Linked DNA regions of Drosophila melanogaster. The protein of the gene in region 1 binds, or shares a complex with, the protein of each later gene. Each region holds a gene or a part of one and is shown on either strand. Other genes may lie near its edges.

Region 1 (15,659 bases):
TGCGCTCCAATCGCTCCAGCTGGCCCATAATGTCCAGGGCAGTGGTGCCCCAATAGATGCCCGACATGCGCAGAAACTCGGTCATGCAGTACTCGTAGTCGTCCTCCTGCTTCCCATGGTTCTCGATGTACTCCACATGCTTCCAGAACTGCAGCTTCTGGCCGCCGCCATCCGCATCACCACCACCGCCGCTGTCGCCACCGCCATTTGAGGGCTTTACGAAGGTCGTGAAGTCCATCGCTGATTGGGCTCAATTGAATGAGTATCGGGTGGCTGGCAGATCCTCTTCGGCGCGCTGTTTCGCTTGATTAACTCTATTAATTGGCAGGAATAGTGCTGCGAGCAAACAAATAACTCAGTGAATCCAATCGAGCACAGCTGATTCATCTGCGCGATGGTTGGCAACGCGGCAGTGGCTTATCAAACAGCTGATCGACGCAGGGGCGTAGTGTGGAGGGGTTTACTATAACCCCATCCAAAAATAAAAATTAAACGTACTTAAATTTCAAATAGCTAGTTTATTTTATTCAAAACACATGCACACTATTGCACCAGCAGGCTGGACTGCGGATCCGGCTCGTCGATGCTTAGGGAGACTATGTGCTGGCCGGGAACCATGACGTTGCCCAGCAGGCGCGGCTCCTGGCCCTCCACCAAGTACTCGGCGCACATGGACAGCACGATGTTGGCGTCGCGGTCCGTGCAGTTGAAGAATCCCACCAGCACGCGTCCGTCCGTAATCACGATCCGAAGAACTCGACCCAGCCACTTCTGGAGCTTCCTGCGTCCCGGCGTCAAACTGGCATCGTTCATCTGGTGCGGGGCGTTCGTTGTGATGCGGAAGGGCTCCGGTGGTGTGCATGCGGGCGGGGGCATCACCTGCTGGCCAGTGATGCTCAGTTCTGTCATGGTTATATCCTCTTTGCTCAATTTAAACAAATAAATGCAAGAAATTCTCAGCTTTTTTTGTGTTTACACTGCGCGTATGTGTGATATAGTGTGCGTGTGTATGAGTAATGGCCAGGGATGCAAGCACGTGTAAGTGGTTCGGTTCACTGGTTCACTTTTTGAGCTCATAAATTCGAAAATATACGAAACACTCGTTTGCTTGTGTCAAAGAAAATACTTTAGATTTAAAACACTTAAAGGAAATGATTGCAAAATGAATGCACACAATGAGCCTTCTTTTTAACATCTTCATACGAAAACTAGTTCTTTTTATATTTGCATCCCTGGTCGAGCTGAGCTTATAAAGGTAACGGGCACCCTAGCCCAGTCAGCTGATTTGCATTTTGCGGCAAATTTTGTTTCGCATTTATCCAAAAAGCTCGTAATTCGTCTCTTGATTTTTTCAAATATCCACCATGTCCGGAAAGGCTTTAAACATTGGCGATCAGTTCCCAAACTTCACGGCTGAGACCAGCGAGGGTCGAATCGATTTCTACGACTGGATGCAGGACAGCTGGGCCATTCTGTTCTCCCATCCGGCGGATTTTACGCCGGTTTGCACCACGGAATTGTCCCGGGTGGCGGCATTGATTCCGGAATTCCAAAAGCGTGGAGTCAAGCCAATTGCACTGTCCTGCGACACCGTGGAGTCGCACAAGGGTTGGATCGAGGACATCAAGAGCTTTGGCAGTGGGTTTGGTCACTGATTTCTGGACAGGAATCGCTTCTAATTGGCGTTTCTGTTCGCAGAGCTGAGCTCCTTTGACTATCCCATCATTGCGGACGACAAAAGGGAACTGGCGCTCAAGTTTAATATGCTGGACAAGGACGAGATCAATGCCGAGGGCATTCCCCTCACCTGTCGCGCCGTTTTCGTGGTGGACGACAAGAAGAAGCTTCGCCTGTCCATCCTGTATCCTGCCACCACTGGGCGCAACTTTGAGTGGGTATTCCAATATCTAGCATTCATCATTATCTATAAAGTAATGCTGTAATGCACTTTAGCAAACAATCGTGCACTTAATCGCATTAGCAGATAATTATTTAATGAAGTATTATTGCTGAAAACTAAGTACTAACCTTGCATATAATAATGGAAGTTAAATAGGAACGATTTCAAGGTCAATTAATCCGACAAATTACATTTAACTATATCCTTTGCAGTGAAATCCTTCGAGTGATCGACTCGCTCCAGTTGACCCAAACAAAGAGTGTCGCGACGCCGGCGGATTGGAAACAGGGCGGCAAGTGCATGGTCTTGCCCACCGTCAAAGCCGAAGATGTTCCTAAGCTCTTTCCTGATGGTATCGAAACCATTGAGCTGCCCTCCGGAAAGAGTTACCTGCGGATCACTCCACAGCCCTAATGGATGACAAGCGTGCGCTCTCACTTTTTTTTTGCTTTATTACAAAAATTATAATTAACAACAAATAATGCACAATAAAGTATACGCTTACAACCGTATTTTCAGTAGATCGGCGCTTTCAGGTGGCTAAAACTCGCCTTCTGCTGGACAAAATTGCCAAAACATTCGACTTACGAACTAAATCAGATGGGGAATGTGACAAAAAGGTCGCGATTTGTGTGTACGAAATAAATATACATTCAATATACATATATAGACGTGTACAAAAGGGGGTAGAGATATTGCAACTGGATAACCATGGGGGTAAGTAAGGTATAAATAAGGCCAACTCTGTACAATAACTGAAGCGCTTTCTAGGATAGAAGAAAGCTAAAGACCAAGCTCGTGCCCGTAACCGAAGATAACTGAAAGGAAAATGTTTACATTGGATTAATTTTGGTGGCACAAACAGTATAAAGTTATTTGTAATAGTGACCATTCATTTAAACTAATAATTGGAAACACATGTTACTGATAATTAGTTTAAACAGTGGATGCTTGAGCACTTTCCCTTGCCCAAATACTCACAAGATATATTCCACAATCTGAGTTCGCATAGAGATCGTTACCTTGAATATGTTAATGAAATGCAAATATGTACAAAATAATGTATGATGTAAAAGCTTTCGCTACGAAACAGGTTCCCTATGCTCTTAAATTCTCTTGACTGCGGGAATACGTCTCAAATATAAAGTGGGAATGGTAACATATGCCTTTGTCTAGTTGCGTTGTACTTACAATTTAACTACCACATGTTCCGCCCTCCGCAAGTATAGCTTTCCTGCGTCAGTGCCTGCGCTGCGGATTGGACTGAAGCATCCGCGCGAACCGCCTCACCAGGAAAGGCCACAGGATGAGGACGGCAAACCAGAGCGGGGAGATGTTCCTGAAGGGCCACCAGGCGGGCAGTGATCGTGGCTGCGCCACCGTTCCTTTCGCTGCCTTTTGGCCGCTGCGAAGTTCGTTGAGCGACTGCTCCAGGCTGCGAACGCGCTGCTGCACTGCGCCCACATCGCTGTTCATCCGTGTGATAGCAGCCTGGATTTGACGCAGCAGGTCCGTGTTCTGGCCAATCGCCTGGGTCAGCTCGTGGCTGAGATCGTAGGGATCGTCGTACTCATCGTCCGAGGGATCCACGATGGCCACGCTGCTGTTGCTCGTAAAGTTGTGCGTGTCATGTTGTGTGTAGCTTGCTGTTGGCTTAGGTCCATAGCCATTGGTCAGTGGCGGCGAACTATGGCCATTCTCCTTAATCGTTTCGGATGTGGCCAGCGGTGCGGTGCTAGTCGCCTGAGGTTCCGGCTCCGGTTCGCCATTACAACTGGAGCCGTGCTGGGGACTGTTGGTGCGCGAGTGGAACGGCGAGTTGGGATGCGACTCGGCCAGCTCCTTCATGCCGGGCGAGACCAGCTCCAGTTCGTCCAGGCTGATGTTTCCCAGACTATCGAGGCTGCCCACAAAGTTCTGCACATTCTCCGTGAACGACATGGTCTCAATGATCTCCTGCAGGCTCTCCACATAGCGCTGCATCGCCTCCTCCTTGGTCAAGTGACGGTTATCGTTCCATGCCTGCCACTTGGCCTTGCCTACGATGTCCCAAAAGCCGGGCTTCTTGTCCACATCTGGTCTACCCTCGGTGGCCTGTTTGAACAGCCCGTAGAACTTGAGCATCATGCTGGTGCTGGGCTGGTAGGGGCCATTTTTGGGCAGACCCTTTATCACATTGACTGCCGCCTGGAAACGCTCCTCAATCGCCGCCATACCTGCAAGATTATCCCGCGATTAGCCAGGGCACTCGATCGATAAGATACACAGGTACGAAGGCTGCCATATAGAGGCGGTGCCAAGTTCACCTTGTCCAGGTGAACGTCGCTTACAAATTACCTAATTATTGTGTGCAATCCGCGGTGTTGCAAACCCCACTTTCGGCTCCCCCTTTTGTTGTTGTCGTTCGCTATTGATTCCGATTCCGAATCCGAGTCCAAATCCGCTGCTGGGCATTCATGAATTTTTGGGTGCGACGTTCGTGGATGCGCTGCTGTGGTGCCAAAGTTCGAGTTCTGAAGTCCAATCTTCTGAGCTTCGAATCGAATCGAGTCGGCTGGAGCTTTTTCTTAGTTTGGCCCCCGTTCTTATCGACCTCGCTGAGGAATTGTTGTGTGCTGCGCCAACCGCTGTCGTTCCAATCGAGTTGCAATCAAATAAAACTAAACAAAAACCCGAAAACTCTCTCTGCAAATCGCTGAGCGCGTACGTGTGAGTGTGTAGGTGTGCATGTGTGCGGGTGGCGCAGGGCTGCAACGAAAGTATCGATACAGGTGCAGAGTGGAGATGATATTTTTGTGAGCGCGAATATCGCGATTTAAACAAAAATAAGAAGTTTTTATTGTCCATAAATAAAATTATAAATTAGTATTTTGCGGAAAAGCATAGGACCAATCAATGAATTTATAAAGTAAGATTATTTAGTTTTATTTATTTCCAGCCACATTTAATTATAGGTAAATATAGGTATAGTAGGGTATAATAGGTATAGTATAGGTATAGTATAATTATAGGTATAGGCTTTATCGAAAGTCAACTATCGCATGAGCGCAGACTTCCATCTTCCATTGAATATACCGCTATTCATGGTATTTTCCAACGTTCGCGCATACGGTCACTCACTTTTTCATTTCGTAAAAATCAGCAATCGAATTAAGTGCTTAATTATTTGCATTATTTTTAGAGCTTTCCGAAAGCTGCCAACGTAAAGTCCGCGAAGCGCCTTCACTGGCCGAATCGGAAATAGCAAAATCGAAGCACCAGAGATCGAAAGACAGCGCATTCGATTCGATTTCACAATAACTGCGAACCGAGGGCGGAGTGGGAGTGTCTGCCAGCGCGGAGAAAAGTGAACGCATTGCAATTAAACATGAAATTTGCTGCAACGTCGACGGGAGTACGACATTTTTGTATTATCAACGCCAAGCAGCAGAGCCATCAGAATCAGCAGACTATATATAAGATACGGCCGCAAAAATCGCGATCGGAGTTGAACAATTGCAAACGGCAAAGACAGTCGTGTAGAATTGCCAAAAATTGGAAGCACCAAAGTTTTTGCATAGGTGCGTCCTGATCGGCAACGTTTCGGGTTAGAAAGACAAAGATTAAAAAATTGACAGCTCGGCTCAAGAACGCAATTTAATTTCCTAACCTAGAGCATCAAAATCAATAAATCGGAACCAACACGTGCGTTTCAGTAGTTGCCGCCAAAGCAACGAAAGTGTAGACATTTTCGCCGTTGTGTAGACTTCGACGCCTGTTCTCCACCTTTTGAGGACCCAGAACAGGAAAAGGACACTCGGCTACAAAGCATCTGTTTTTTTTGTGTTTCGTACCTTGTGTTTGAAACAGTAGGCTAAACAATAGAAACCAAAACGTCGTCGTCGAGTTCAAACAGCAAAATACCTGAACGACGCAAAAACAACAGCAACATGCCGCGACGCAACAAGAAATCAGCAGCAGGCAGAGGTGAGTCACAAAGAAAAGAGAGTGTGTGGGTGTGCACAGAAAAAAAATGCGAGGTTGAACGTATCCAAATGCGTATAATATATCTATTGGATACGAGTGTGAACTTCCAGCTGAAACAATTGACTTTATAGGCTTAAAATTAGTTATTTTGCCTTTAGTAGCAACATTTTGGGTTTAATTACCATCTTAACCTCATGGTTTTCTTGTTTTTTACAAAATAAACGAATTAAATCGCACATCTGAACAATAGACTTAATAGTATATCCCCACAAAAGCCGGCGAGGGTAGGTGAATTTTCACAGCTGCTTTTCGTTTGACCTTTGCATTAGTCATGCACTGACTAATGAGTACCGTGCACTGTTTGGTGTATTTCGTTGGCTTCCAAACGAAGGAAGCTTCGCTGCCTGCAACCTGTTTGTCAATACCCTCGAAATGAAATAATTATTTTCGTTTTGTTGCTGTGCTGGCACCAAAAGCTTCACGCGCTCAGCTGGCTGCGCAACAACAAGTAATCAGCGGTTCACTGAAAATATATATACATACGTATACATATGTAAATTTATACAGCTTTGCCCACCAATAATAACAATATAACCATAGTAATTTTGACAAAAATTCCAAATTATGTAATATAAAGTTAAATAGCTGCATTTCACCAAAGGAGGAGGTTTTAAGTTTCTGCGTTGTTTCTATGTTGAGCACAACTGTATATAAATATAAATATACTTGTTCGTGGAAAAACATACGTACACATATGTATATGTATATGTGTACGCTCAATGCCAGCTTATCAGAATCACGCCTATAACCGAATACCTCAGTGCAGGGTATCAGTGGGTATGTTTTCGTAGGGCGTATCAAATTATGTATTCTATTTAAGTGCTCTATTATGCTAAGTTATTATTCAAGCTGTACCTATTTATATAGTTAAATATCCGAATTGGTATTTATAGGCTCATCATACAATCATTTACAAATATTAAATTTAAAAATAAAGAAGCGGAAGTTGTGGCTCTTCGGGGAACTTTCCTCGCATCTAAGTATATACCTCATGGGTGACCTAAAAACTTACGCAACTTTGTGTTATGCATTAGTCGCTCTCAAAACACAGATGGTTTACTCGCCCGAATCTAATCCAAACAACTTTCAAGCAAAACCAGCTGTTTTCCACTGCTTTTGATTCGTTTTTCTAGCCCGCAGTTACCGCATGCTTTTGTGTTTGTAGTTTGCTCGCAGCTTTTGTGAAAGGCAAAACAAAAAAAAAAAAAACACAAAAAACGAGGCGGAAACTACCTTGCCCCAAATAGAAAGCTGAAAACAGGCACTGGGAAATCGCCACAATGAAAGTTGTGCTCTACGACGGGTTTTCTTCGACGCAGTTGGCCAGCAAACAAAGTGAAACATCGAAAGATGGATAGAAAACTTGTTGCACAACATTTGCGGCTCCCGAGCTGTTTTTCTTGAAGGTCATTGCTGTGTGGCAAAGCGTGTAATTGAATTTCTAATTTCAGTACATATACATTTCCCCATCTAAATGAGCACACAAGCAATTGAATGAAAAGCTGCTCGAAGACGGCAAAACTTGATGCCTCTTTTCAGCTGGTTTGACAGTTACTGAAGGGAAATGTGGGCACTTGCATGAGGGTGGTCCCAATATTTTACTCCATTTAACAAGGAATACAAATGGGGTTCTGAAAATAGAATAATCATTACATTGGTATTCACTGAGTTTCCATTTGCAAAATGCTTAGCTTACATTCCAATGGGTTCGTTGAATGCCTAAAATGTGCAATTAAGCATATTGTTCAAAACGATAGCTGTTGAAAAAGGCTCACAGGTCGCATTAGCATAATAAATATTTATGAATTATGCTTGAAAAACTCGCTGAGTATAGCAAAATACTTCAAAAAAAAACCTTATTAATTACCCAAATGATTTCTTTTTCAGGCCGCACCAATGACTCCAATTCTGAGGACGAGTCCTTTGACAATGTGAGCGTTTACTCTCATATGTCCGAAGTCGCATCCTCGGAGGCCACCGACGAGCTGGCCAATGAGCGTTTCGAGGAGAAGTTCGAGAAGGCCCTGGAACAGGCCACCGAGAAGTCGGCCCAGACACGTGTGCAGGCTCTGCAAGCGATTTGCGAACTGCTCATGCACCGCTACATGCCGGACTTCGTGGAGGACCGCAAGATGACCCTGATGGATTTCGTGGAGAAGAGCATCCGTCGAGGCAAGGGCCAGGAGCAGGTGTGGGGCGCACGACTCGCGCCCCTGCTGGTGCTCCAAATGGGCGGGGATGAAGGCATATCCAAGGCGATGAATCAATTCCTGTTGAACACCGTTCAGGACAAGTCCGTGGGCTTCGATGCCCGTGCCAAGTGCTGCACAGCTGTGGGATTGTTGAGCTTCCTGGGCTGCGAGGATGTTGGGGAGTTGGTACACCTGATGCAGAGCTTCGAGGCCATCTTCGCAGGCAGTTATTTGCGTGGCGATGACAAGACACCGGTATCCGTCACCGCCGAAGCTGGGACTTTCCATGCGGAGGCCTTGAACGCCTGGGGGCTTCTACTAACACTTATACCTTCGGGGGATTTTGTTTCGTTGATGACCACTGGCCAAAACATGTTTCCGTAAGTTTGAAGAGCAAGTTCCATTTAACTTTCAAACCCATTGCTATAATTGTTTAAACTAAACTTTGCAGATCTATTAAGAAGTTCTTGGGTCTCTTGCAATCTACACATTTGGACGTCCGCATGGCCGCTGGCGAGACCATTGCTTTAATTCTGGAGTCGGGACGTGCTCACGAAGAGGATTTCCTAGAAGATGACATCGCTGAGTTATCGGAGGCCGTCAAGCAGCTGGCCACGGATTCGCATAAGTACCGCGCCAAGCGCGATCGCAAGGCCCAGCGTGCCACCTTCCGTGATGTGCTGCGATACCTGGAGGTGAGTTGAAGATTTGCACGAGTGCTACGCTTAAACAATAGGGATTACATTTATTTATTTGACTCGAGATGCACTAGTCTTTGGACGATTACTTCATGTCAGTGCAAGTGAACTTGAGCTCGTGCTTGCAGTACTTGGCCAAGCACTTGGAGTGATCGTGCAACTTGTTGCGCATGATGACGCAGCCGTTCCGGCTTATCGAGTCCATGTACTCGCTGAAGGTCGGCACCTTCCGGTATGTGGTCGGGGCGGAGTTCCAGTGCGAACTGCTGCCGGATTCGATGGTCTGCGAGGAGTCCGAGAAGCTGGTCTTGAATGGCTTGTAGTTCTTTTGGCACTCGTCGCTAGACATCTCGTAGCCAGCGGACGCCTCCCGCTCCAGTTCGTTCATCACGTTCGAGCGGAACTCGTTGCAGGGTCCACGTTCGCTCATCAGCTTGTTGGCGTTCTTGGACTCGTCCTCCGTCTTTAGGCTCTCATAAATACCCTCCGGGTACTCGTTCATGTTACAGTAATCGATCTGATAGGTGGTGTTCATACGGTTGGTCTCCAGCCTGCGGCTCAGCTCCTCCTTGGGCATGACCTTCAGGCGTTCATACAGATCCGGGTAGACTGTACGTAAGATCTTGAGAAAGCGGTTGGGTTGCAGCTTAAAGCAATCTGTTTCCGCGGAGAAGGCCATCTTGTCCACCTGGTCCTGAGTCAGCTGGGTGGGTATGATACGCGGATCCACCAGCTTTCCCATTGGCGCTATGCCCGTCCACTCGACGCCGCCACAGTCCTTAGACGCGTTCGGCGGCATCATGATCTTGGACTCGTCGACGCATTCGCACTCCTTGACCTGCGGACCACTGTGAGCCTCGGCGCCCCTGGGCCGCGTTAGAAACTCGTACCGTTTGGCACTGGGCGGGACATAGTCGTGCTGATAGGTTGATAGCATCATCTTGATAACGAAATCTACAAAACTAATTGGCCAAAACAATTTTTTTTAGTAGTTTTTTTTTTTTTAACGAGAAATTTGGTCTGTTTGATCTGATAGAGAAACTAATAGTGATACATTTCAAAATCGTACGAAATGAGATTAGAATATTTGCTCGTAGCCTAGCCTGATTTTAAAGTTTTTTTTATCTCGTTGCAGGAGGACATTTCCCCAGAGATTAGCATTCGTTTCGGTACCGAGTCGCTGACACTAGATTCCTGGTCCATCCATCATCAGTATTCGGCCATGTGCACTGTCATGGGTCCCGGGATGACCTCGCAGCTGCAGGAGAACGAGTTCATCCGTGACATCTTCCAGCTGGGACCACGACCCACGAACACAGGCATCAATGGAAACGCCAAGGTCAAGCCGACCAAGCTGGAGCGGGTAAGTTGATTGAAATGTGTTAACATTCGCTTCAAATTTTAATATATTTATATTTGTTGCTTTTGCAGCACCTTGTGAATGCTGCTGCATTCAAGGCACGCTCCATAACACGTGGAAAGAATCGTGACAAGCGATCGGCCGTCGTCACTTAAACCTGTGCTTCACCCACCAACCGTTCCCATCCACAGACACCCAAACCAACCATCTCAAACCCCGTTAGCCAACTCTGGACTTACTAGTTGAATTGTTTCTAATTTTAGCTTGAACCAGGCAAAGCGTCGCCAAAGCTGAAGAACTAAGTCTAAATTTAGGATAATTCAGTGTAATCTACAAAATTTCTCTAGTTTATTAACCACATGTTGGAGCCATTGTTTGAATATTATGAAATATTTATTGCGTGCACGCACAGTGGTTGTTTATCAGTAAGTGCATGGCTGGCTCCAGCTTGGATCTTATTCTTTGTGAATTTAAATTAACACTGCGATTGTTACGACTGGCATTTACGCTTTGCGATTTGGGTTAACCTCTTTTGTTGTTGATCTTTTTAAATTACAAGCGTAGGAAAACATAGTCTGCTTTAATGCTGCGAAAAAGTTATTCATAACTTGACATGGCTTTTAATACGCATAATAAGCGGCTCTATGAATACATATATTTTGTAGTAAATAAGTGTAAAATAAAGTTTAGGCTTAAACGAAAACTACTTGAAATGCATTCTTACTGGTGGGGATACAACAATGGACTCCTTTTTAGAAAACACTTAAAAAACAGTTTGCGTTTTATAAATTGTATTTTATTTGTTAGTTTTATCACAAAAATTGTATGGTAACTTAAATTGTATGTTGGATTCTTTCCTTTTGTGGATTTTGTTTTGTTTTTCTTTGCTTTGACAAATTTTGTGTAGTAACTACAATAAAATTTATATATATATATTATATATGTTCGTGTGTATGTATATATGGGCGCAGCTTATACAAATCAGTTTCTTAAGGAGTAAACTTAAAGGTTAATAAGAAACGTATTTCCATCAAGTACAAATTAAAAACTTGTTTGCTTAATTTAATATTCGCCAAGTACTCGTGTTTTGCTTGCTTCTTGTTTGCATCCATGGATGAAACCGATAATGAAATGAAGGAAATCAAAATGCTTTCATAATTTAGGTGTAAATAAAAGAAAACTATAAACTATAAATCAGCATGGGGACTGACTCACTGGCGCATCTAAGCACTATCTTCTCGCTTATTCGCTCTTCAGGCTACTTGGCAACGCGTTCGTAATCATAATCTCAGGATGTTCTCGTTTCTGTTTCCGTTTCCGTTTCGCTTTCGCAATTGATACTGACCTACACTTATTCTACGTAATATTTGGCTTCTTGTAATACACTTTGCTTCTGGAAATCTGCATGATAATTTGAGAGACGAAATTCACTCGTTAATCGAAACGCTTTTCGCTACTCTTCTTGTCTACTCGCTAGAGATTTAAACCTATGTACACGGTTGAGGATAGAAAGGCGGGTGCTAGGACCCACCTCGCGTGTGATGTGTAAACTAATAATTGAGCATTGAGCAAAACCTGTGCAAAACGCATGCTAAACTAGGTAAGTAAGTAAGTAATGTTTTGTCTGTGGGGGTTCAGCTGATGTGTGTGGTAGCCTCTTAGGACGCAGCTCCCGCCCGAACCGCCTCTGCGGAGGTGCTGGCGCTGACCTCCTCGCAAATGGTGTGCAACTTCTCCATCTCCGAGCTGGTCACGATGTTGATTGAGCTAACTTTGGCCCGCTGATAGGCCACCACGGTGTTCTCGCCCAAACACTTGACGCACACATAGCCAATGAGCACGGCGATGCCCACTGTCATCACGCGCACCAGCGGATCAACGTACATTTGGATCACCACCCAGGCGGTGGCACCGGTTACGCACATCAAGGTGATCAATATAACCGTCTTGGACCAATGCTGAATGGTGAAGCCCTTGTCCCATTCGAGTCTGTAATAGAGTGTCGTGTTATCAGTTATTTACCATCAGTTATAAAATGGTCTAACTGATAGCTATGTGGCGGTGACCCATTTCCCTATTTGCAAATGGCACTTACTTTTTGGACTTTTCGATCTCGTAGGGATGTCCGCAGACCTTGCACGACAACTGCGCCTCCGAATTGCTGCAGCTCTCCACCAGCCAGCGCTTGAGACACTCGTGGTGCACCGAACTTACGTCGCCAGTGCAGCGGCAGGGCTGGATGAGGGGCTCTGGCTTGTCGGAGTCGTAACAGATCCAGCAATCCTTTTTGGTTAAAAACGACTGGCCCTCTTCGGGCGAGAGCTTGTTGGTCTCCGCATTTAGAGTGGGTATCGACGGATCAATTTGGCGGGATAGAAGCTTGCGAGGATTTAGAATCCAGAGCTGTTCAGGAGCCATCGAGTTCCAAAGGCAGCAGGGAAACCAGAGAGCCACACCGATCTCGGCGATGCGAAAAATGATGTCATGCCAGTTGCGCGAGTTAACTGGAACCCTTTGTGGTGGCGAAAAGAAAAGCTTTTTGTCAAATTGGCAGCTGCAAAACTAATTAAAAGCCTCTACTCACTTGGTCTTCCAGAAGTCGCCCAAAGTTTCGGAAGTCAGAAAGCCCACAATCACGATTAGCATCACGGCCTGAAACAGCAGTCCGAATCGCGACTGATGCAATTGTGAGGCATTCACAATTGCCTCGCTGGGACCGAGAATCTTGCCCGTCTGGTCGTAAACGAAACCGCCGCGCAGCTTAAAGAACACTTCCACGCCGTAGATGAGGAAGAAGACCACCACGATCAGGAGTAATACTGCATAGCATCCGTTGAAGATGTGGGCGTAGTCGCGACGCTCCGCGTTGATCAGCGAGTTGAAGACCTCTATGCCAAACAGGCTGTACAGAAAGAAGTTGAAGGCCACGAAGCCGAGGAAGCTCTTCGACAGAAACTGCGACTTCTCCCAGCGGATGTCGCGCAGGTGAAAGATCTGCAATGGCGAACGTAGCAAATGTGAATGAGTACCCACGCCGATTTGGTTACCACTAAAAGTCGCCCGCAGTTACTATTTATATTCCAGATCAAGTGCTAATATACGTATGTACACTCGCCACCCAGCTTAATTACTTGTGTCAGCCTATCGGGAGGCCCCAAGATAAGTTGTGCCAAACACAATAAAATTGGCTCGAGTACAATTGCACTCGACTCGTTATCGCGCATCTGTTAGATACGAAATATGGCAAGTACAATTGGACGCACTTTGCTCGATAATGGAATTCACATCCCAGTACTGAAAGTTCTCAGGGTTCGGGTGCGATCAAATACGACTACGTCAGGCTGTCGTTCAATCGCCATATTTAAGTTAGTGGTGGACTCGTGACTTGAAATACTGCCTATAAGTTCTAACTTATCACCAAAATTTATAAGAGTTTGTAGCACCGCGGAAACGTTATCTGTATCTTAAGTGTTAAAGACGCTTAGGGATGAGAATAAAATGAAATATTGCAGGTCTTGCTTACATATAGTACTACTGGACAAAAGCTATTCGATGCAATTGAAGAGGTATATTATTATGTAATATTTGCAGATAGTAACGTTTACTTGTTTACAACCTTATCTTTTGCTCATGACTGTCATAGTCCTAATTGATACCATTAAGATTTCATTTTCAAAAGTACACAATTAAGCGAAATTTTCTATTCTCATTTATCCTTCCTTAAATATCTAGCTTATCGTGGACTCACCTCGGCCCACATGCAGACAATTAGCGAGGCGCAGGTCATGAGCAATGGATAGTAGGCGGACATCAGGGTGACAGCCCATTGTGGCTGCAGATCCAGCTGAAATGCAAGGAGATTGATGAAATCAAACGATCCGATCGAAGTGGGATTGCGTTTACTCACGGGTGTGGTGAAGTAGGCACCTCGCAACGAGGCCGCCACAAAGACCATGAAGTAGAGCAGTTTCTGGGTGGTGATGCGACAGGCGCGGAGTACGGAGGGCTGCTTCAGCCGCTGATATTCGGCCACGATGCAGATGAGCAGCTGGATGACCGAGACGAGGGCCACCACGTAGAAGACGGTGGAGATTCCGGCGTAGTAGGGCAGATTGAAGATGTCGCACTCGTTGCCCGCGTACCGAATGTCGCAGACGCAGGTGTTGTTGACGCAATCGCCCCGTCCCGAGCAGCTGAGATCGTTGTCCGGCGTAAAGGGGCCGTAGATGCCCCCGGCGGCCGACTTGCTGTGCCCATTCCGCATCTGGCTGGCCGCCGCCTCCAGCGGCGATTGCAGAACTCGCTTCGAGCAACGCATTAAGGTATCCAGGCTCGGCAGCATCCTATGCTAAATCAACTGCAAATAGAGCGAACGTACATCTTAATTAATACATCAGGGCAGCGCAAATCGATAGTCCGGCTAGATAAGCAACAAACATCTAACAGCATGATACTCCCCGCCAAATGTGGGGCCAAAGGGTGTCATTTAAATAAACATTGAATTCTGGTGTCTGGACGGGCTGCTCGCTGGCTCTAAAAGCAAATGCAAATGTTTGCACAGCCGACGCAGGGCAATGGTGGCATTAGGGGTACTCTCTCTACAACTCGAGTGGTTCACTTTCTGTGGCCCACAAAGCATGCACAAATGAAATATAAATTGAAAAACATAACTATGGTTCTTACAATAGGAATACATATCTACCTTTAAGAACAAAGAATACCCGAATTCTTTAGGCGATAGTTGAAAAATGTCATATGCGTGTTTCAACTACCTACGATTCATTTAATTAAATAGTATCTGGCCTAGATTCTATCTTCGATCTTAGCTATACACTATACTTAAAACAAATATGTTAATGGAATATGGTTCAACCCCTACCAACCACAAACACACAACTGACAGCCACCCAGAGTGCTGATGGCACACGGAGGAATATTTCAAGAGGGTAAACTGGGCCCGCTGGCACTTGGCATTATTATGCCAGCAACGATTCTAAGCCGGCACAGCCCAACCTTCCGCTTCCGTCCGTCTGTTCTGTCCGTCTATCAATCAAAAAGCACACAGGGACATCTGAAATGGCGAGAGACTGGGGCATCGATAATAATGCCTGCCAGCAACTTGACACCCACGATATAACACAATGAAGTACGAGTAAATAAAACCGATCCAACATCGGGACAGGCCACAAACTGCAATTCCATTGAGCTGTCGTTCTACATTAGCCAATTGAAATGCTCTTCTTGCTGTGGTCAAAACCAATTGATCCACATGGCCACATAGGGAAGGAAAGGTGTAGAAAAGGGTAGGAAAGGGCGTACCGACAATTATTACCTATTAACTGGGATATTAATTACAATGCGATGCTTAAAAACCTTTTTTGAGCTAATTGCTAAATTTGTTTTTAATGGTTATGAGGTCGTTGTGTCCGTCACAGCAAATATATTTGCTCGTTTCGACCGAGCGCAAGTGTGTTCTTTTTTTT
Region 2 (17,566 bases), on another chromosome or scaffold:
GTCATAAAAACAGACCGCAATTAGCGGACAAAAAATGCAAATTGTCAACGAAACTGTTTATCATGCACAATCGCTGGAAACTTTTCATGGATAATTTTGTTTACAAAATTTATTATTTTGTCGGCCGCTCACTCAGTCACGTTTCTGTCTCTTTTTGTTTTGGGAAACTCGTTTCTGGTCGTCAGACCAACAGACGATCTCCTCTGACACTCAGATATGGAGCACTAAATTTATCTCAATTGCCCAGAGACGCGCCTCTTCGCATTGTTTGGGCTCCAAGATGCAAGATGACTCAGTTCTGGGTGACTGGGTGCAGGTGCAATTGGCGGGTATTTATACTTGGAACCACACTTGGAGGTATATCCGGTGGGTGAGTAAAGGAGGCGACGCGTTTGGATCGAGGAACCCATACTTAGGCGGTTATTTTCGACTTAATAGGTGCGGGTAGTTCAGTACCCTTGCACTCGAATCCAAAGCGTCGCTTTCGTTCAGCGAGTCATGCTCCTAATGAATCGCAATAGGTCTTAAATCTCGAATCATAAACGACGATCGCTGATTGAGCTGCCAAAATTGTCGAACGGCTGCAAAACGGGTTTGCACATTCTGTGGGGTCTGCGGATTATGCACACCGATATCGGACTAAGTGACAGATACAAATGTTTTGCGGCACCATAACTTAGTTACGCGCATAAGTTAAGTACGCGGCCAGTCGCGGGTAATTACTCAATCAGTCAGTGAAGTGAATAGAGCTCAATCGCATAAAGTGTTGATGGTGTAATTACATTGAATGCTTTGATTTGATTTAGCTTGATTTCCGAGCGGAAATACCAGTGTTGCAAAGGAGCCTAGTAGGTACTCAAGTATGGCACCCACTGCGGCCCACAGTGCGAATGAGTGATATTGCGGCGCGATTACTTCAAAGTGCTGAGCTGCCCGCCGTCATCGCCTCGTTGCGATTTGTTTGCATGCGGATAATTAAAATCACATTAACGCCGTTTAGCTGAGCAGCAAGATGGTTGGCAATTTGTGGTTGCAATCACAATGATTGAATGTTTGTCAAAATGCTTGAACTCTCTCTCAATCACTGGTCACTTTCGCAAAGAACTAGGCTTAGTTTGAAACACTTGAATATCAGTTGAACTCGATCGGATCAAGGTCCCATGCAAATCCGCACCAGGTGCCAGTGCACGGGTCATTTATCAGCATTAATAGACTGCTCGGGCATTACTTAACAATTATTTAAGGAACACGCCAAGTCGATTAAGATACGATAGCCGCGATAGTGGGCGTCCTCTACTAATTTATATGCTAACTAGGCAATGCAAGCCAGGGGATCTGTCTTAAGTTAAATAAATGAGTTATCAAATTAAATTGTCATGTTAAAAGTCATGCGTTGCAGATATGATGGCTCTCATGAGTGACAATAAAATGAATTAACTCAACTTTAATAGATTGTTTAATATTAAATATGATTAAATGAATATCATTACTTTATACATAGATATGGGTTTTTTAAGGGGTTTCTTAATACCCAAAGTAGAGTCCTCGTCCTCTTCTAAAGTCACTTGCTTCCACCACACAATTATTTACTTTTAATTAATCAATATTAATAGTTTCTCCTGCTACAGATTAAATGCATTCGGAATGCTTACACGTGTAAGAGTAGTTTGAATATGCAAATACTCGCAGAACTCACATTCAATGCTTTTCACCTGCGCGGCGGAATCGAGACATACCCACAATTAGTTGCCGCTGTCATATAAATCACAACTTTTCATTTACATTCGCCATAAATCATTCGAATTGTTCGCCGTGGGATCGATCGGTGGAATCAGTTTTGGTGATTGGACCATAAACCTGGCAGCTTTGTCACCAGCTTTTCCGACAGTTGCCACAAGCCGGAACCGATTTCCTACGCCTGGGCTTGGACACTCGGCCCATGGCCACAGGTGGAGCTGGGAGCTGGGAGCTGGCCAACTTGTGGCAGAACGTGACTGGAAACAGCGAAGGGGGAGGGGGGCACTGGCCAGAGGCTTTGAAAGTTTGATTCAACTTAATAGAGTTAAAAGCCGCCTAATCGGATTAGCCGCTCCTCCGCCGTGGCCCCCACTCCAATCCATTGCCATCGAATGAGGCACTAGCTCCGCTTGTCTGGCTGCCCGGATCTGCAGTGGTGGGTGGAGCATTTAAAAGGTTGTCAAGTAAAAGGGGTATGCTCGATCGAAGAAGCAAAAATGTTATATGAAAAATTTAGCTAGATATATTAATAGGTATTCCTTGGCTCGAAATAAAAATCTTAGATATGCAAATCTACACTAAATTGTCTGTCAACAAACACTGTAACTAAATAGATAAGCATAGTACATAGTAACAACCCAAGATTTATGATTTTTTTATTGGCAAGATATTGCTACATGAAGTTAATTATATAGAAATACAAATTTCCATAAATGTAGTCTCTACACTGAACTTTTTGAGCATGTGAAAAATGTATAAAATCTATAAAATGATAAGTTGCTGTGTTGCAAGGGTATACTTTTGAGGCTGAGTACGAACTAGTCGATCAGTTGGCTTCAAGCTCTAAAATCCATCTATTGTGCAGACTAATGCGGCATTCTAAACACATTAGAACTAATCTGCTGCTATCTGCGAAAAGTGCACGAGTGGCAAACTCAATTGTTTGAGCTGGTGAAACGGAAACGATGCAAATGGACTATCGGGCAATTCACACCAGTCATATATGAGAGCTTGAATGAGTTCACTTGAATTCATTTGAGTTCCACGCAAATTGCTCGCTTAATTCCACATCGGAAATGTCGCTTGGGCGATGCATTTCGTTTCCATAAGCGATTCAGTACCATCTGCAAATTACCCATTTAAGTTGTAAATTGCATTTTGCCCATTTCAGCAGCAAACTTCATTTAAATTCATCACGGGCCCGGGTAATTTCCTCACATTTTGCATCCTGCCACCGCTGAAAGGATGTCTGAAATCCCGACCAATTCAATCCGGGCTAGTTACCATTGAAATGCAAATCCCAGCCAGGCGGCGGATAATGTCTGCCATCTGCTGGGGCGCAAACCTAGCGAAAAGGATTCAAAGGATCTGCTGTTGTTGCAAGCAACAGTGAACAATAAGCTTTGGCCTCATCCTCCAATCTGGCTGGCGCATATACATTCGCAACACTCGCACTTACCGCCCTCCTTCTTTTCATCCAGGCAACGGATGCAACGCCAACGACATTGCGCATACGCCATGTGCGCCGAGCCGAACAAACACTGAGAAACACGGGTAAATCACACTCTGTGCGCTTATCAATTCATTGGATTTTTCGTTAATCATTGTGAAATAACATCGTACTTGAACTGTTTAATTTCCTTATCAACAATGTGTTTGCAAAGCTCTTGTGCTAAGATAGTTACTATATTAGGTTCTTATCACATCCCACAAGAGTTTGAAGACCCTCGTAAAAGAGCTAGAACTATATATTAGTTTAGATAAACATCTCTGCTTTTGCTCAGTGCACAAAGAACGCACGGCAGCGCAAATTGCTGGCAGGAAGCCAAGCGAAATCCGTGCACCAGTGCACAGGCATCATCATCACCACTGCCACCGCCACAGCCATCGTGATTATACTGAATCCTGCAGGCTGGGGGAGGCAGCCTCCCCATCCCGGTCGACTGCCTGGAGCAACAGAACCCAGTGAAGGAGCAACAGCGGGAACAGAAGCAGCAACGGCAACAAGCTGACACTTTGACAATGTTGGCGCCATTTTGCTGTTTGTCTTTCCTCTTGTAATAAAACGACATCCTCGACTGAGGATGCTCAATGGGATTCGGAGTGGCGGAGGGGGTCTGAAGTCTGAGGGCTGAAGGCTGAAGGGTGTTTTAAACACTTGGGCGACTCGGGAGTGCGGAGTCCGGAGTGGCGTGCTCCTTCACAACGTAATCATCGTGGAAGGGCTTTGGTGCGGCACGTAGTCAGGACGCTTTGTCAGTTGCCCGGGGCGGCGTCTGTGTAGTCAGCACTTTGCTCGACTTTTGTTGACAGATTGATTTTGATGTGTTTTCATTGTTATTGTTTGGCTGAGGGTCCTTTAAAGCGAATCTGGGGGCATGGGCCGTCGCTGTGCTGATTTGGGGCATCAACGGCGCTGGAAGAGGCAACAAACCTTTTAGCCTAATTGGTTGGCTCTTGAATCGCTTTGACTAATTGACAAAGGCTTTTCCGTGGGCTTACGGACTTAATGAACTCCCTGAATGGTCCTGGACCTGGAATATTCATGGAGTTTCATTTATTTAATTGAATGAGAAATGACCCTCCATAATTTAGCGGGGCAAATCGGAAAATAGGGGAAAAACGGCAAAACTTTTTCACCTCTTGCATCCAGTTGGGTCAGGGAAATCTATTGTATCAAATACAGAGTTTTCCGCATTTTACTCATTGCTTGTTTGCCTCGGCGGGTCAGCTACAGTGCAGCCTCGCTAGCTTCGACTTTAAGGATAAGATCCTTCGGTCTTGTGTGCTGTGCCATGTAGATATAAGGTGCATTTTTAGTATTAATTGGATTTATCCAAACCATCTTACTAGAGACTAGTTGGAGCCATCAAGGCCACTCTGTAATTAAATCCAATTAAGTCAGGCGTGCCGGTCGGCCAGTCAGCTTTATTGGAGCGCATTGAAAAGCCACAAAACCGTGCGGCAGGGGCATCGAATGGAATGAAATCCAATCAAATCGATAAAAAATGCTGTATAAAAGTCGAGAGTTCGAGGGCGACGAGGAGTACAGCAGGACTCCTCCTGCTGCCTGATGCTGGGAATTTCTGCTTTTTCCTCCATTGCCTGCCTGCGGCGTTGCTCATACGCCACGTTGCCCCCAAATCAATTGAAATAAATAGGATACACATGGCTCGCAGTCCTGTGTGTGTGTGTGTGTGTGCGAGTGTGTGATTTGGTGGACGTGGAAAGCAGTTGCTTCTCACATATTTGCTTTTCCCGCGGCACAGGGACCGAGATTTTCATTGCCCGTGTGCCGTTTGCTGGTATTTCATTTATTTGTCTGCTTGTTATTGGCAGCTCAGTCGTGCGTGTGGGCCACGATTAAATTTGGTCAATTGTCACGCCCTGCGGTGGACTGCCCCTTGGGGGTCGAAGACTTAAAGCCGCCCCACGATTTTGCCTTGACAACGGGTTGAGCCACAAACAAGTTCCCGGATCGATGTGGCCAACACTCCACTTCTGCCGGCGCAATTGCCAGCACGAAATGCTGGAAAGTTTTGTTCGATTGATAAGAAGGATGGTCTTTTTCTTCGCCGCTGATAAGGAACGCTATCTTATCTGGAGGGCCAGCACTTCAAACAATATGTATGCCTTGTCAGGCATAGAATCACCCCAGTCGGTCGGTGGGGTAATTAAGCTGAGCTAAGTTGTCTTTGGCATGCTACAATTTATGCTCAGCACTTGTTATGGCTCATTTCTAGCACTAATCCGTCCACTTTTTCATTAACAAATATGTGAGGTACCCACATGTCGCTTTTTGCCAGCGTCAACACATCTGTGTTTTCATTTAAACTATTTGATTTGGTCGCCTGCCAAAAAATTTAAGTTTTCGCTGTTCGCATTTAATTAGGACGTGTGTGCCGTTTGGGAAACACTACGTTCCGATGTCCGACATCTATACATATGAATTCAGATATAGTTTATAGTGAGTGTTTCGTATTTTATTCTCGGCGAACTTGAAATGGAAAACATTTGGCGGCGGCGTAAATGTCACAGCTGGATTCTAAAATAAAAATGTATTTTTGTCGGCAACTTACGCGTGAAATTGGCTAATAAGTGGGCCTAATGCGCCGCCTCCTTCGATTTGGATACCACGAAGCGTTAAATTTCGGAATTTGTGTTGGAGACTTTCGCCCGATTCGTTCCGATTCGACCGACCAAGTGAACCGTTAGCACGTTTTTGAAATGATGATGCCCAGCTTTTGCAGGCTTGAGAATCTTATATGTACTCGAATGCTAGGGAGGTGGAATTCTTCTCGCGATTTGGGACCAACGTTTTCGTGTTATTTTTTAATGGCCAACGATAACACATTGAAATGCAATGAGCAAATGAGCGTTGCTTAAATAGTTCGCCGGTCGAACTCAAAAACTCAGTCGCTTCCAATCCCAATCTCTCTGCCCATCCGTTCTGCGTTCTGCTCATTCATTGAGTGGGTTTCCTCCTCGGGCTACCAAGTTCTCTCTGCAGACTACTCAATGTCAGCGGAGGAAGTAATCAGTGGATTTAAGTGGGGATTTAAGGGAATCGCATTCGAATAAGTTATATAAATTAATATACTAAGGGGATAACATTTTTAACACAATCAAATATGTTGCATAACTCCAGGCGCTTTCTTGGCAAGCAATGTAATTATTTTTAAATAAATCACGAAATTACCACTTTTAAAGAAATCAAATAACATATTCAAAATATCTTAAAAGTCTTAAAATATTTAAACTTATATTCCATCTAAAAGTTTTAATAAATACATAAATGAATGTATTGATAAGAAGAATCCACTGTTTATGGGAACATTGTAACCTTCCGTTTAAATGAGCGTTCTGATTTGAGTAAATCGCCACTAGCAAGAGAGATTTGGGAGCCGAGGCAGAGAAAGATTGTGATTTGGGGAGAGCGAGCGAGTGAAAGTGGGGCCTCCGTGGTAAACAAACCAATCCAACCCCTCGGGCTCAGCTCCCACTCGCAACTTGGATACTTGTAACACTCGGGGTGGCGGTCAACCCCAAAATCCGTGGGGCGGGCGTTGCGCCGCGTTGCTCGAAATCCGGAGTGAAACCGCGGAGTGAAAGCGCAAGCGAGCTTTTCCGTTTCCGATAACAGCGGGAACAAACGCGTCTGATAAGGTTGTAGAATGCCTCGGTTCAAGGCATACTTTATTTGCTTTAGTCAAATCGGAGCAAACATAATTAAGTGAGACTAAAGAGAGCTCGTGCTTTGATCCGTGTTTTTTGAACCGCGGAACTGTTCTGTTCGGTCTAGGCGGTCGTCTGGGTCTCAGATAACGCTGGCTTGCACTTTCAGTCATTTTGTTTAGTTAATGGGCCAGCCGCAGTCCAATGAACTAAGCTTTGCTTGTTTACTTCAATTTTCACCTGACTCAGCATTTGAACTTGGTAACAGTTGTAACGGTCGTGGCTGTTAAGCTTAACAGTGCAGCTTAAAAGCCACCAAGGCTCCAAGTTCCACATTTTGAATGCTAACTCACTTGTTTTATGGGTAACTTACAGAAATTCTAAGCTGAAATCATGGGAAAACATAAAAGCACCACATAAATCTTTGCTGACTTTCTTTTAAATGCTTTCAAAACATCCCAAATTAAAACAGTACACTGTTAACTTCGCCAGTGCTGCCAAGTTGGATGTTGGCGGGCTGAAAAATACTGAAGGCATTTATGCTTATACCTATTTAAGACTGTATCAATGAACTACTCTTCTTTAAATTAATGAACTGTTCTATAGATTTCTAATAATCATATAGCCATTGATTATCTCCGCAAAATCAAAAATGAACTTAGAAATAGAAAATTATGACTTGTTTGGTACCAAGAGGTATATTTGCAACATAGAGGCATGGCTGACCGTTCGTCACTTGGTCACACTGGACGTTACATATTTTAATTCATTAAAAATATCTTTTATAAATAAAAGAAAATTTGTAACACATCGAGCTACAGGTTGACCGCCTGTTGAATATAGGTACAAAAGATGTATCCCTCGACCTTGCCGGCGGAGGCAGATCCGAGCACCATGAACGGAAGGTGAGCAACAGACCACCGGCAAGAACCCACAGACGTGCCTACATACAGAGCATAACCATCTAAATGCACATACATACGCATATCCACAGCAGCGTTGCAGAGCCTCCGGACTTCCAGGCTGCCACGGCGGCCGCGGCGGCAGCTGCCCGGGCCAGTAGCTTGGAACAGGACGAGTGGAGCGTGGGCGAGTGCGGATTTCTGGATCCGGATGTGCAGCGCACCATGCGGAGCGGCAGTGCTGCGGAGGACATCACCCAGTACCCGATGCACGGCTGGGTGGACGTAACCAAGGAGTTCCACGATGCCTGCGCGGAGCTGCAGCCCGGGGAACTGGCCCAGGATATGCTGTTCGGTCTTTTTGAGGCCATGTCAGCCATCGAGATCATGGACCCCAAGATGGACGTGGGCATGGGCTTCGACAAGCAGGATCTTCCGCCGCCCTCTTTCGAGGCAGCCATTGCCGTGAGATTTGTCTTTCTGACCCCTGGCTAAGCTATATGTATCTTAATAGATGACTCTTTCCAGACGGGCGCCATCAAACTGGACGATCTCACGCCCTCCGAACTGATTGGCATCTATGATGCTCTGTTTTCCTGCCTGGTGTCCTGGCTGGAGGGCAACTCCATGGACCAGGTTCTATTCACCTGCCTCTACCTGCACGCTCCCGCACAGATCAAGGATAAGGCGCTGCGCGTCTTCTGCACTGCCGTGCGCAATCTCATCGTGGTCATCAAGAAAATTATTGCCGTGGCAGCTGTCAACGAGGAGGAGGACTTCCAGCTGTACGGAAATTCTGCTCTTCTGGCTGCAGAGAAGGCACAGCCAGCCACTGTTTATAGCTCGCTAAAGGATGTGGAGGATGAGCTCATACGCAAGTGCAAAAAGCTGACTTCCACGGAGGACTGGATGGCCGTGGTTCACCGGCTGCGTTTCATGCGCCATCTTTTCCAGGTGATCTACCACGTGGAGCAAATGGCCAGCAATGATACCGTCGATGACAAGGTAGACATATACAAAATCCTGCTTGTGGCCTCCGAGATGCTTCCAGGAATAAGGAACACTTTGGATCGGGGCACACAACCAGAGAAGGGGTGTAAGTGGTCACAGATAACTTGCCAATGTAAATGCTGAGTATTTCCTTCTAAATCACTAGCTGACGCTCCCAATCCCATGGGTTTCTCTCCGCGCATCCACGACCGCAGCCAACCGCCCGCGTTTCCGCGTAGCATTAAGATCAGGGATCGTCCATCCAGTTATCAGTTTCTAGAGGAAATGATTTCGCGCTTCAAATACGCCTGCAAAGTCACCAAGTACAAGGATTACTATTCGGCGCTGGTAAGTGACTTTTTAAGTGACTTCTAAAATAAATTGTAATAACATCCTGGCTTTCCAGAACTTCTTTATCGAGTACAGCAAAAAGTCGGGCCAGTGCATCCTGTCCAGAAGCGTGCTGCAAACCCTGTTCAGCGCCAACATGCGTATGGCGCACGGAAAGCTTCCCATGAAGCAGTTCCTGCGCCACTCGGTTCAGGTCTTCAACTCGCCACCCGTATTGAATGCCAAGCATCCGGTGGCTGCCGATCCCAAGGTGCAGCAGCACCTGGAGAACTTCTTCCGTTACTGCATTAACATGAACACCTTCACGCAGTTCATTCGCATCTGCGGCTTCAATCGCGCCAGACAGCGGGATAAGCTGGCGCGTCTGATAGAGAACTTCGACACCATCCAAGTGGATGCAGCGCGATTGGACTCTATGATGAACCAACTGGCCAACGAACGAGCCATGGAGGGCAACGAGCCCATGGCCACCGCTCTGAAGCACAGCACCCACTTCTCCACATGGGTGCTGTACAACTGTTTCCGTGCGATGCTGATCTTCCTGATGTCCGGCTTTGAGCTGGAACTATATGCTGTGCATGAGTTCCTCTACATCTACTGGTATCCATACGAGTTCCTCATTGGCTTCCTGGTCTCCGCGCTGACGCGCACGGAGAACATCCTCCTGGCCCAGGAGGAGTACGCCGAGCACCAAAGTAAGACCCAGTCGGGCGGCAGCGGAGCGGCTAAAAACCGCAAGGCGGCCAAGCCGAAAAAGAACAAAAAGACTCAAAGGCCGTACCGCGCCGAGATCGTCTTCTACCACGCGCTACTCAGCCTCTGCGGCGGAATGTATAAAGCAATGGGCGCCCTGACCAAAGACGGACGCGTGCGACTGCCGCTGTCCAAGTTCGACAACGAGGAGATCCGCTACAACCGACGCTTCCTGCCCTTCGCCACACTCACCAGTCCTCCGCCAGTTTCGTACGCAGAGTTCAAAAACGTCCGGGAGCACATGATGCGACATAGCGTCGAGGATCTATATACCTATGCGGCCAAGCACTTTGACCAGGCCCGCAATGTTCTCGAAAGCATTCAAAACCCAGATCAGGAGGTAAGTCAATGGTAGTTCTGAATTGGTTTTCCTGGATTAAAATGCGTTTCGTTTAATTTCAGATGCTGGACCTCCTGCAAATCGCACGGACTAACTTTGTGGTGATGAATGTGCTGGCTCGCGGTCACCAGAAGGAAGTCAAGCGGCAGCCAGAGTTCGACTTCTCCAAACACAGCTACTTCCCCATCATCAAGCTGAAGTAAATGTTCACGTGTTTCGTAATTGACAAGAATAAAATTTAAATGTACGCATTTTAATGTCAACTCTGATCCTCCGCCACAATGTCCTGCTTGATGAGAAGCTCCTCCACGTAGCCGTCGATGGGGCAGCTTTTGGCGCAAGTGTAGACGGCCAGGACGCCCCAGTCGAGGTTTTCGTCCTCCAGAAGAGTCAGCGCTTGCGGCATAATCTGAAATTCGAACTGACGCTCTCCTCCGCAAGCAATGCAATTGGGCAGCTTGTTAAGTTGGTCCTCCACCGTTTTGACGGTATTCGTGATCCAGAGGGGCTGGCCTCCACGTTTGTAGCGCACGATCTGATCGGGTTCGGCTGCTGTTTGCTTTTTGAACTGACGAAAGGTCTTGTCATCGGCGGCCGCCGAGTTTCCGAAGTACTTGTCCATCTCCGCCTCGGAAACATTGCTCAAGTCGCCCGTCTTCCCGCTGGACTCCAGCTCCTGGAACTCCGCCAAGCGAGCCTCATCGTCCTTGTCCTCCTCGCCAGACTCCACGGGGTTGCTGTCCATTACAATCTCAAATTCTGGGAAAACGATTTGTGTTAAGGGCTTCTCAGTGGCTACTTCTGGTGCTCCGCAGTTTGGCTTGTGTTGTGGCCAGTGGGCCCTTTGATGCTCTGGTGAGCAGTAGTGGATTGCCTTGCATTTGCTGCAGGCGTGAGGAGCATGGCAACCGCAGGCGGCGCATAGTTTCTTTAGGCAGGGAACGGCGGGCTAAGAAAACATATTATGATGAGTATGTTCTGAAAATATGGCTGCTGTTCCTACCAGGGGTTGACCCACGTCGCTCGGCTCCTCCTCCGAAAAGAACTTATTTTTTCGCGGCAACTGTGACCTGAGGACTGTGAAATTGCTGGAAAGATGGGTAAGATTAGGTTGCAAGTTGGTTTTCAGAGCTAGAAGGGATTACCTTGCATTTTGGGCCTCCTGGCAGTCGGAATTCCGGCACAGGAACACATAGATGGACCGATGAAAGTTGTACTCGTCTTCGAAGGGAGCGTATAGCTGAGCCAGGAAGGATTTGGGTGCCCTGCACTTGCTGCACTGCAGCTGCGACGTGGGCGGCAAGGCCTCCAGTTCCAGCCATGCGGGCTGGCCTCCCAGCTTGCTGGGAAAGTAGCGGTTGCTCAGCCAGGCGCCATTGTCGCTCTTTTCCGCAAATCCCAAGTCAATCTCCATTTCTTTCAATCTCCGAAACGAAACTCGTGTTCAGTGTGACCGCAGCGGGAGCGCCAGAAAATACCTCTACAAATTCCGAAATAACGTTGTATAATAACTGATATTTTCGGGGAATCACACTTTTTGGGTGTTATAATTTAAAATTTAAATTAATTACATTCGTTTAATTTGTTGATTTCGGCAGTTCAATAAAATAAAATATTCTTTTCTTCATTGAATATTTGCGATTACTCTTATAAACATAAGGGGGAAACATAAGATTTTAATTTAATGACATTAATCTGGAAGAATAACAAATCTCATTATCCTGAGCCCTTAAAAATGGCAAGCGGTTCAAAATTATAGAGCGAGGATTAATCAGATAAGGCCCCTCTTCTACGCCACTGATAATAAAGCTTGCATGCCATGGATTTGGTATTTTCCGCGAGTTCCTCCATGGCGATTTCCCAGATTTTGGCCACTTCAGTATGCGGTTATTTCTCACGGTTAAAAGTTCTGCTCTCCGAGTTGATTAAACTGGCTAAAGTGATATTTTATTTACTGTTGTGATAAACGCGTGTGAAAAACAAAGACTTTCCATTGCCCGCGGACACAAACGATCACGAACCGAAGAGTGAACCGCTCAGAAACGGGGGGAAAACCAGTTTTCCCACGATTTGATGTGATTGTGAAAGCGCAACGAGATTTGTCAACGCAAACAAGCAAGAAGAAGAGCCCGTGGATAGCGTAATATTTGTTAATAATAACGGCTGCAAAAACAACAACATTGCGGAAGCAGAATCTCCGACTTGTCGCGTTTCCGTCGCAGCAGCGCTAAAAATAAACCCACCCACGCACCGCCCCCTCTCGAATCGCCAACCACCCACTCCCGCCCACCATCCACCTACCACCACCTTCCGCCCACACCCACGCACGAATTTGGAGAGGTGAACTTGTGTTGACTTTTCCAGCGCGCGGACTTTTCCGAAGAAAAATGCAAAAATGAGAGCCGAGCCACCAGCGGACCACTGGGAATTTGCGTAAGTCCAAGGCGGATGCTTCCTGGTTTCGAATTACAGGGTATCACGTGCGCTGCTGCGAGCTAGTGAACAAGAAGGCACCAGATGTTTGATGGAGTGCACATAGAGAAAAGTTTGTGTAGGAACTATTAGGTGTCCGGTACAGGGTATCTCCGCTTCGATGCCCCTGGCAGTGGCTCGCTTTCTGGCTGCCAAAGAACGAGCCGGGTGAGCTTTTATTTGCTAAATTTAGTGCCGCATTGCTGAAAATAAGAATGGGAGCACCCTGCCATCGGTTGCCGGTAGGCAGACTCATATATATGTATATGTATATGCATAATCGCCCCTGACGGCCAGTGTGTGGTTCGGTGGATCTTTGTCCAGGGCACATGGCCCGAAACTGTTGCATGGCCCATCCTCGTCCTGGCCAATCGATGCCTTCGATGCCGACTTCGACTTGGAGTGCTGCCTGAATCAATAAACGCCTCAAATCCCTGCCATATTGCGTCCATTGTAATGTCAGCACATAAATTCTCTGCCCATCGAGGGGCATTTTCACTCGGCTGCAGGCATTCGGTAGTGGTATGTACGCTATGTGTCCTGGCCAGGCAATAAATATTGAAAATTCAATTAGCAGACGGACGGGCAGCCGAAATGCTATGAATTTATCACCACCTGAGTGCGAATGTGCCTGTGGTACTCATAGTAAATAAGTAACTTCATTGCCATTCGGCCCACTCCACTTGCTCCACCTGCATGCTGGCTATTGATTTTAATCCGCCCTGCAATCATCTTGCTTCATTTGGCCGCTGAATTTATGGGTTCCCACGAAAGCTCCACTTTCTTCGGCCCGCTTTCCCATTTCCCCCACTTCACATTCCCATTCCCACCAACAATGTGTGCTGTTTCGGCGCTGGAAAACATTAATTAAAATTCACTGGACTGGGAAAGCTATCAGTTGCATGCATATTCAATTGATTCATTATTACAGGACATCATACATGTAATGCTCAGCTCATTAATCGGTTGACAGTGCGTTCCTTCGACTGACTGTTTAAATTCCCATTTCAATATTGTTGTTAACTAGTAGTATGTATGTACGTACATATGTACATATGCTTATGTACGACTTGAACCCAAGCAACTAAATAGGAAATTGTCAGTATGTGTAGCGTCGAAATTATTGCATAAGTAAATAAATTATAGAGGATGAGAAGGGAAGTCAGTTTATGTGGCTTGCATAAGTTTGTTTTGATATATTTGATAATTATACGCTTATCACTGCCAATGTTGTTCTCTCCGCACACCGCGTTTATTCGACTCCTCTTGTCACCACTTCGCCGTTTGCTCAGTTGCACTACACTTGTTTATCCACGCCCGCCTTGCTGCTCATTCGCATTCTGATTGGAGCGCCGAACGCCAAGTGAGTCACTCCCCAAGGTTGCTCAGCGTAGTGCCTCTCCGGTGTTCTCAGTATCGAATGCCAAAGGCCAATGGACGATCTCTGGCTCCACGATAGCCGATATCAATATCGAGTTAGCCAGTCAAGTGGCTCGGTTCTCCGGCTGGCGAGGGGGGAGATAAGGGCAAGCGATGCAATCGCGAGGCTTCTGGGTTCCTATCGAGCACTTGTGGGCTTTCCTTCGGGTCAGCGAGCAGATGATACCCAGTTGGGAGTAGTATTTGCCAGGTAAAGCTCATAGATAGTAAAGGGCTGGAGCTTGCTTTCCGGTTATCTATTATCATCACAACAAGTGAGCTCCATTATTGCGCTCACTTTATTTACTCTACTTATTTTCGCGTATATTAGGTAAGCCTGGAAATTGTACATGATTAGCATTTCTGACCTTATGACTCACCGAAGCAAAGCTACGAGCAGCCCCACATTTAGTTGATTTCTATACAATTCGCTATCTTTTATTTCAAAAATAAACCTTAGATTAGATACGCCTTTGCAAATAAACAAAGTATGCTGCAGAGTCTTCCTGGATCTCCACCTAGCAATCATAATAAAGGGCTTCCAGTTGGTTTGAAACCCCATAGATGGACTCTACTTAGTGTTTGGTCATGGTGATAGTTTTAGCTTTGTAATTTCTATTAACAAAAAAAAATTTGTATTTATTGTAAACGAAATCCCCTGAAACAGCTTTTCTCCCAGCCAATGAATCAGCTTCCACTGCATCGGGGAGCACAGTAGACGTAATCACAAGTGAGCTTTTTGTTGTCAACTGTTTTTGTCCGCGAGGGGCAAGTACTGGTTGCTTAGGTGCTCCGCTGGCTGGGAGGAAACTGATAAGGACTCGGGAATGCCACTATCGATGACGGGCCCCAATGGAGCCTATTGTTTGCTCTTATCTGTCCAGTTATTGTTACTCCATTCGAGCCCAGTTGGTTGTTTATTTGTTTGTTTGCTGCATGCCGCGACGGCGTGCGTCATGCGGGGAAGGATGTGATTCTGGTGATTCATGCCAGAGAAGTGCATCCCCACCCAACCCCTGGTGGAAAATCAATAGCCATGGTGGCGCGCTCTGGGCTCTCGAGATGTTCGCCGTAGTGTAACCTTGTGTTCTTGTTTTGCAGGAGCCGGAGGCGCCTTGAATGAGAGTCCTTAGCCCGAGATGTCGGATTTCGTGCCGCACGACCTCATCCCCGATCTGTGGGATGAGATTCTCCGGCGCCACTGGATGTTTCTCGAGACGGAGGAGAGCATAGAGAAGCTCGAGGAACGCAAGCAGCTGGAGGGTGAGTTCGCCGCCTTGTCCTTGTCCTAAATGGAAATGGAACTAATCAATCCGCGCTTACAGGCTGCCTGAAGGAGTTCCTCTGCGTGGTGCAGCACGATCGCAAGTTCTTTCTGCCGGAAACTGGGCATGTCCTGCGGAGGTCTGTGCTCGAGCTGCCCGACTTTTCGGCCCAGAACGCCATCGTAGCCTTCGAGACCATCAGCCAGTATGCCAACAATCTGTTTACGAAGCCATGGCGAAAGGAGTATCGAACTCTCAAGGTGGATATAGGATGATGACGTATACTAAATAGCCACTTCTAACTGAATAATCCTCCTTTCTGCAGACCTATTCGGGATGCTTTCAGCACGACATCCAATCCCGCCTGCTGGACGCCGAACAGCTCTTCCTGGCCATGGGCTATCGCCGGGCTGCCGAGGACACCTTCGTCCTCGAGGGTCCCATCTGTCCGGATCAGGTTACGAATGTTTCGCGCGACGCAATGGCCGCCTACGTGGAGTGCCAGATTATGAAGCACATCTACGCGGGAGTGACGGCAGCGGGATACGTCTGCACTTGGAAGGACATCCTACAGTTCCGCGAGCGTTACGTGGGTGGAACTTCCACGACCATCAAGGAGATGGTCAGGCAGCTGAGTGAGAAACGGGTACGAATGGAGCAGCCACCGATGCAGGAGAATACATATAGCAATGTGGTGAGTGCTGCTCCAACTGCCTGCGGCATGCGCAGCAACAACGTTGCCCATCATCCCAGCAGTTCCGGCACTTGTGCCCTGCATCCCAATGGGCTGAACGAGGCGGGTAAGTATCTGCCGCCTTACCCAGCGCCTCCGCCGCAGCAACCGCACCTGCCTGGTCCGCTGATGACGCATTCTCGCAGCCTGGATCACTACCAGGAACCGCAGGCCCATCTGCCTCACCGTCACTCCTTCGATCAGCAGCTCCAACAGCAGTGCCAGCTGCCGCACGTCTACGAGGCGCCCTATGACTGCTTAGATGGCCTGAGCATGGGCAGCAGTGCGTCCTACGCTGCCGTGACTGGAGCCTACAATGCACCGGGAAACCGCTATCCGCTGCCGTACAACATCTCCAGCCAGCTGAATGCCCCGTATGCGTCGCCCGCCGACTTCTATGGCAATGGACAGCACACCAACATGTACGCCACGCTGGGAAAGACGGGCCCAGCCCACAGCTGCGATTTGCACCGTCGCCAGCCGAACACTTCTGCTGCTGCCGCTGCTGCCTTGGCGGCTATGCAGCACCGTCAGAGCACCTATCCGCCGGATCACCACCTCATCGACTTTGACGAGCGAGCGCATCTGACCCAGCATGACTTTGGGACGCATGACTACGATCCGCAGTATGCCGAGCTGAGAGGTCAGGTGCAGCCTAGCATGCGGGGGAATCCGGTAGCCATGTATGCCACCTACGGGGGCTACGACCTGCCCACCACGCTACCGCAAGCGCCGCCGCCGACCGGCCAGGATATGTACATCTATGCGCGGCCGGTTCCGAAGAGCAGCCGTATGCGGGCTTTGGCCGAGGCGGGTGGCATTAATTCGACTGACAAACATCCGCGATCAGCGGAAAAGCAAGTAAGTTCTAACAACATCATCATACTTATATAATGGTTACATATCGTTGCCTACTCCTTTTAACAGAGCACCATGGACAATAATCGCAAGATGCACAAGGAATTGAAGGAGCGGAATAGTCGGACTGCACCGGCCAAGAGGTCCGGCACTGAACGTGATATACCCACCACCATTTCGGACTTGAACAGTTACGACTCGGCTAGTCTGGACGGATTTGTGGCCCTGGACAGTAGTAGCTCGCCGCCTCTCATGCCCAAAGTGCAGGAGGGTGTCGGCAGTTTCGAGTCCTGGAACTATGTATTCAAGAACCTCGAGCGATCGGGCTACACAAAGGACCTGGGTGACCGCGAGGACTTGCTGGTGCAGAGCTTGGACCTAGGCTCGCTGTCCATAACGAACGGCGGTGCAGCTCCTCCGGCGGAGAAGCGCCGTGAGGCCACGAATCCCACAAACGGAGAGAAGGCGCGAACGCTAGATAAAAAATCCGGTACGGGGCGACGCGAGGCTAAGGTGGTGCAAGCTCCTGCACCCAGTCCTCTGCCCAATAGCAGCAGTGCCGGCGTTAAGA

The links.
Region 2: Sbat (region 1) and Naa35 share a complex: the UniProt entries of both Drosophila melanogaster proteins name them as parts of the N-terminal acetyltransferase C (NatC) complex.

The regions. Positions count from the first base shown.
Region 1 is NT_033779.5:2,863,843-2,879,501, reverse strand, and holds Sbat (sabbat), read right to left. Parts: upstream 1,159-15,659; 5' UTR 910-1,158; coding exon 544-909; 3' UTR 501-543; downstream 1-500. Other genes in the region: RabGGTb (Rab geranylgeranyltransferase subunit beta), read right to left, coding at 1-238; Prx6a (peroxiredoxin 6a), read left to right, coding at 1,365-1,638, 1,699-1,891, 2,113-2,314; CG8814 (uncharacterized protein), read right to left, coding at 3,140-4,114; CG8813 (uncharacterized protein), read right to left, coding at 8,902-9,756; Ifrd1 (Interferon-related developmental regulator 1), read left to right, coding at 5,830-5,866, 7,814-8,498, 8,570-8,813, 9,952-10,179, 10,248-10,331; CG2991 (uncharacterized protein), read right to left, coding at 11,835-12,165, 12,272-12,688, 12,761-13,170, 13,925-14,020, 14,084-14,518. UniProt on the Drosophila melanogaster protein: Auxiliary component of the N-terminal acetyltransferase C (NatC) complex which catalyzes acetylation of N-terminal methionine residues. May have an accessory function in the survival motor neuron (SMN) complex.
Region 2 is NT_033778.4:24,128,112-24,145,677, reverse strand, and holds Naa35 (N(alpha)-acetyltransferase 35), read left to right. Parts: upstream 1-7,627; 5' UTR 7,628-7,764; coding exon 7,765-7,817; intron 7,818-7,906; coding exon 7,907-8,279; intron 8,280-8,342; coding exon 8,343-8,910; intron 8,911-8,970; coding exon 8,971-9,152; intron 9,153-9,210; coding exon 9,211-10,248; intron 10,249-10,272; exon of another isoform or gene 10,273-10,310; coding exon 10,311-10,451; 3' UTR 10,452-10,498; downstream 10,499-17,566. Other genes in the region: Zfrp8 (zinc finger protein RP-8), read right to left, coding at 10,508-11,197, 11,252-11,336, 11,394-11,662; tamo, read left to right, coding at 15,279-15,402, 15,465-15,664, 15,730-16,998, 17,065-17,566. UniProt on the Drosophila melanogaster protein: Auxillary component of the N-terminal acetyltransferase C (NatC) complex which catalyzes acetylation of N-terminal methionine residues.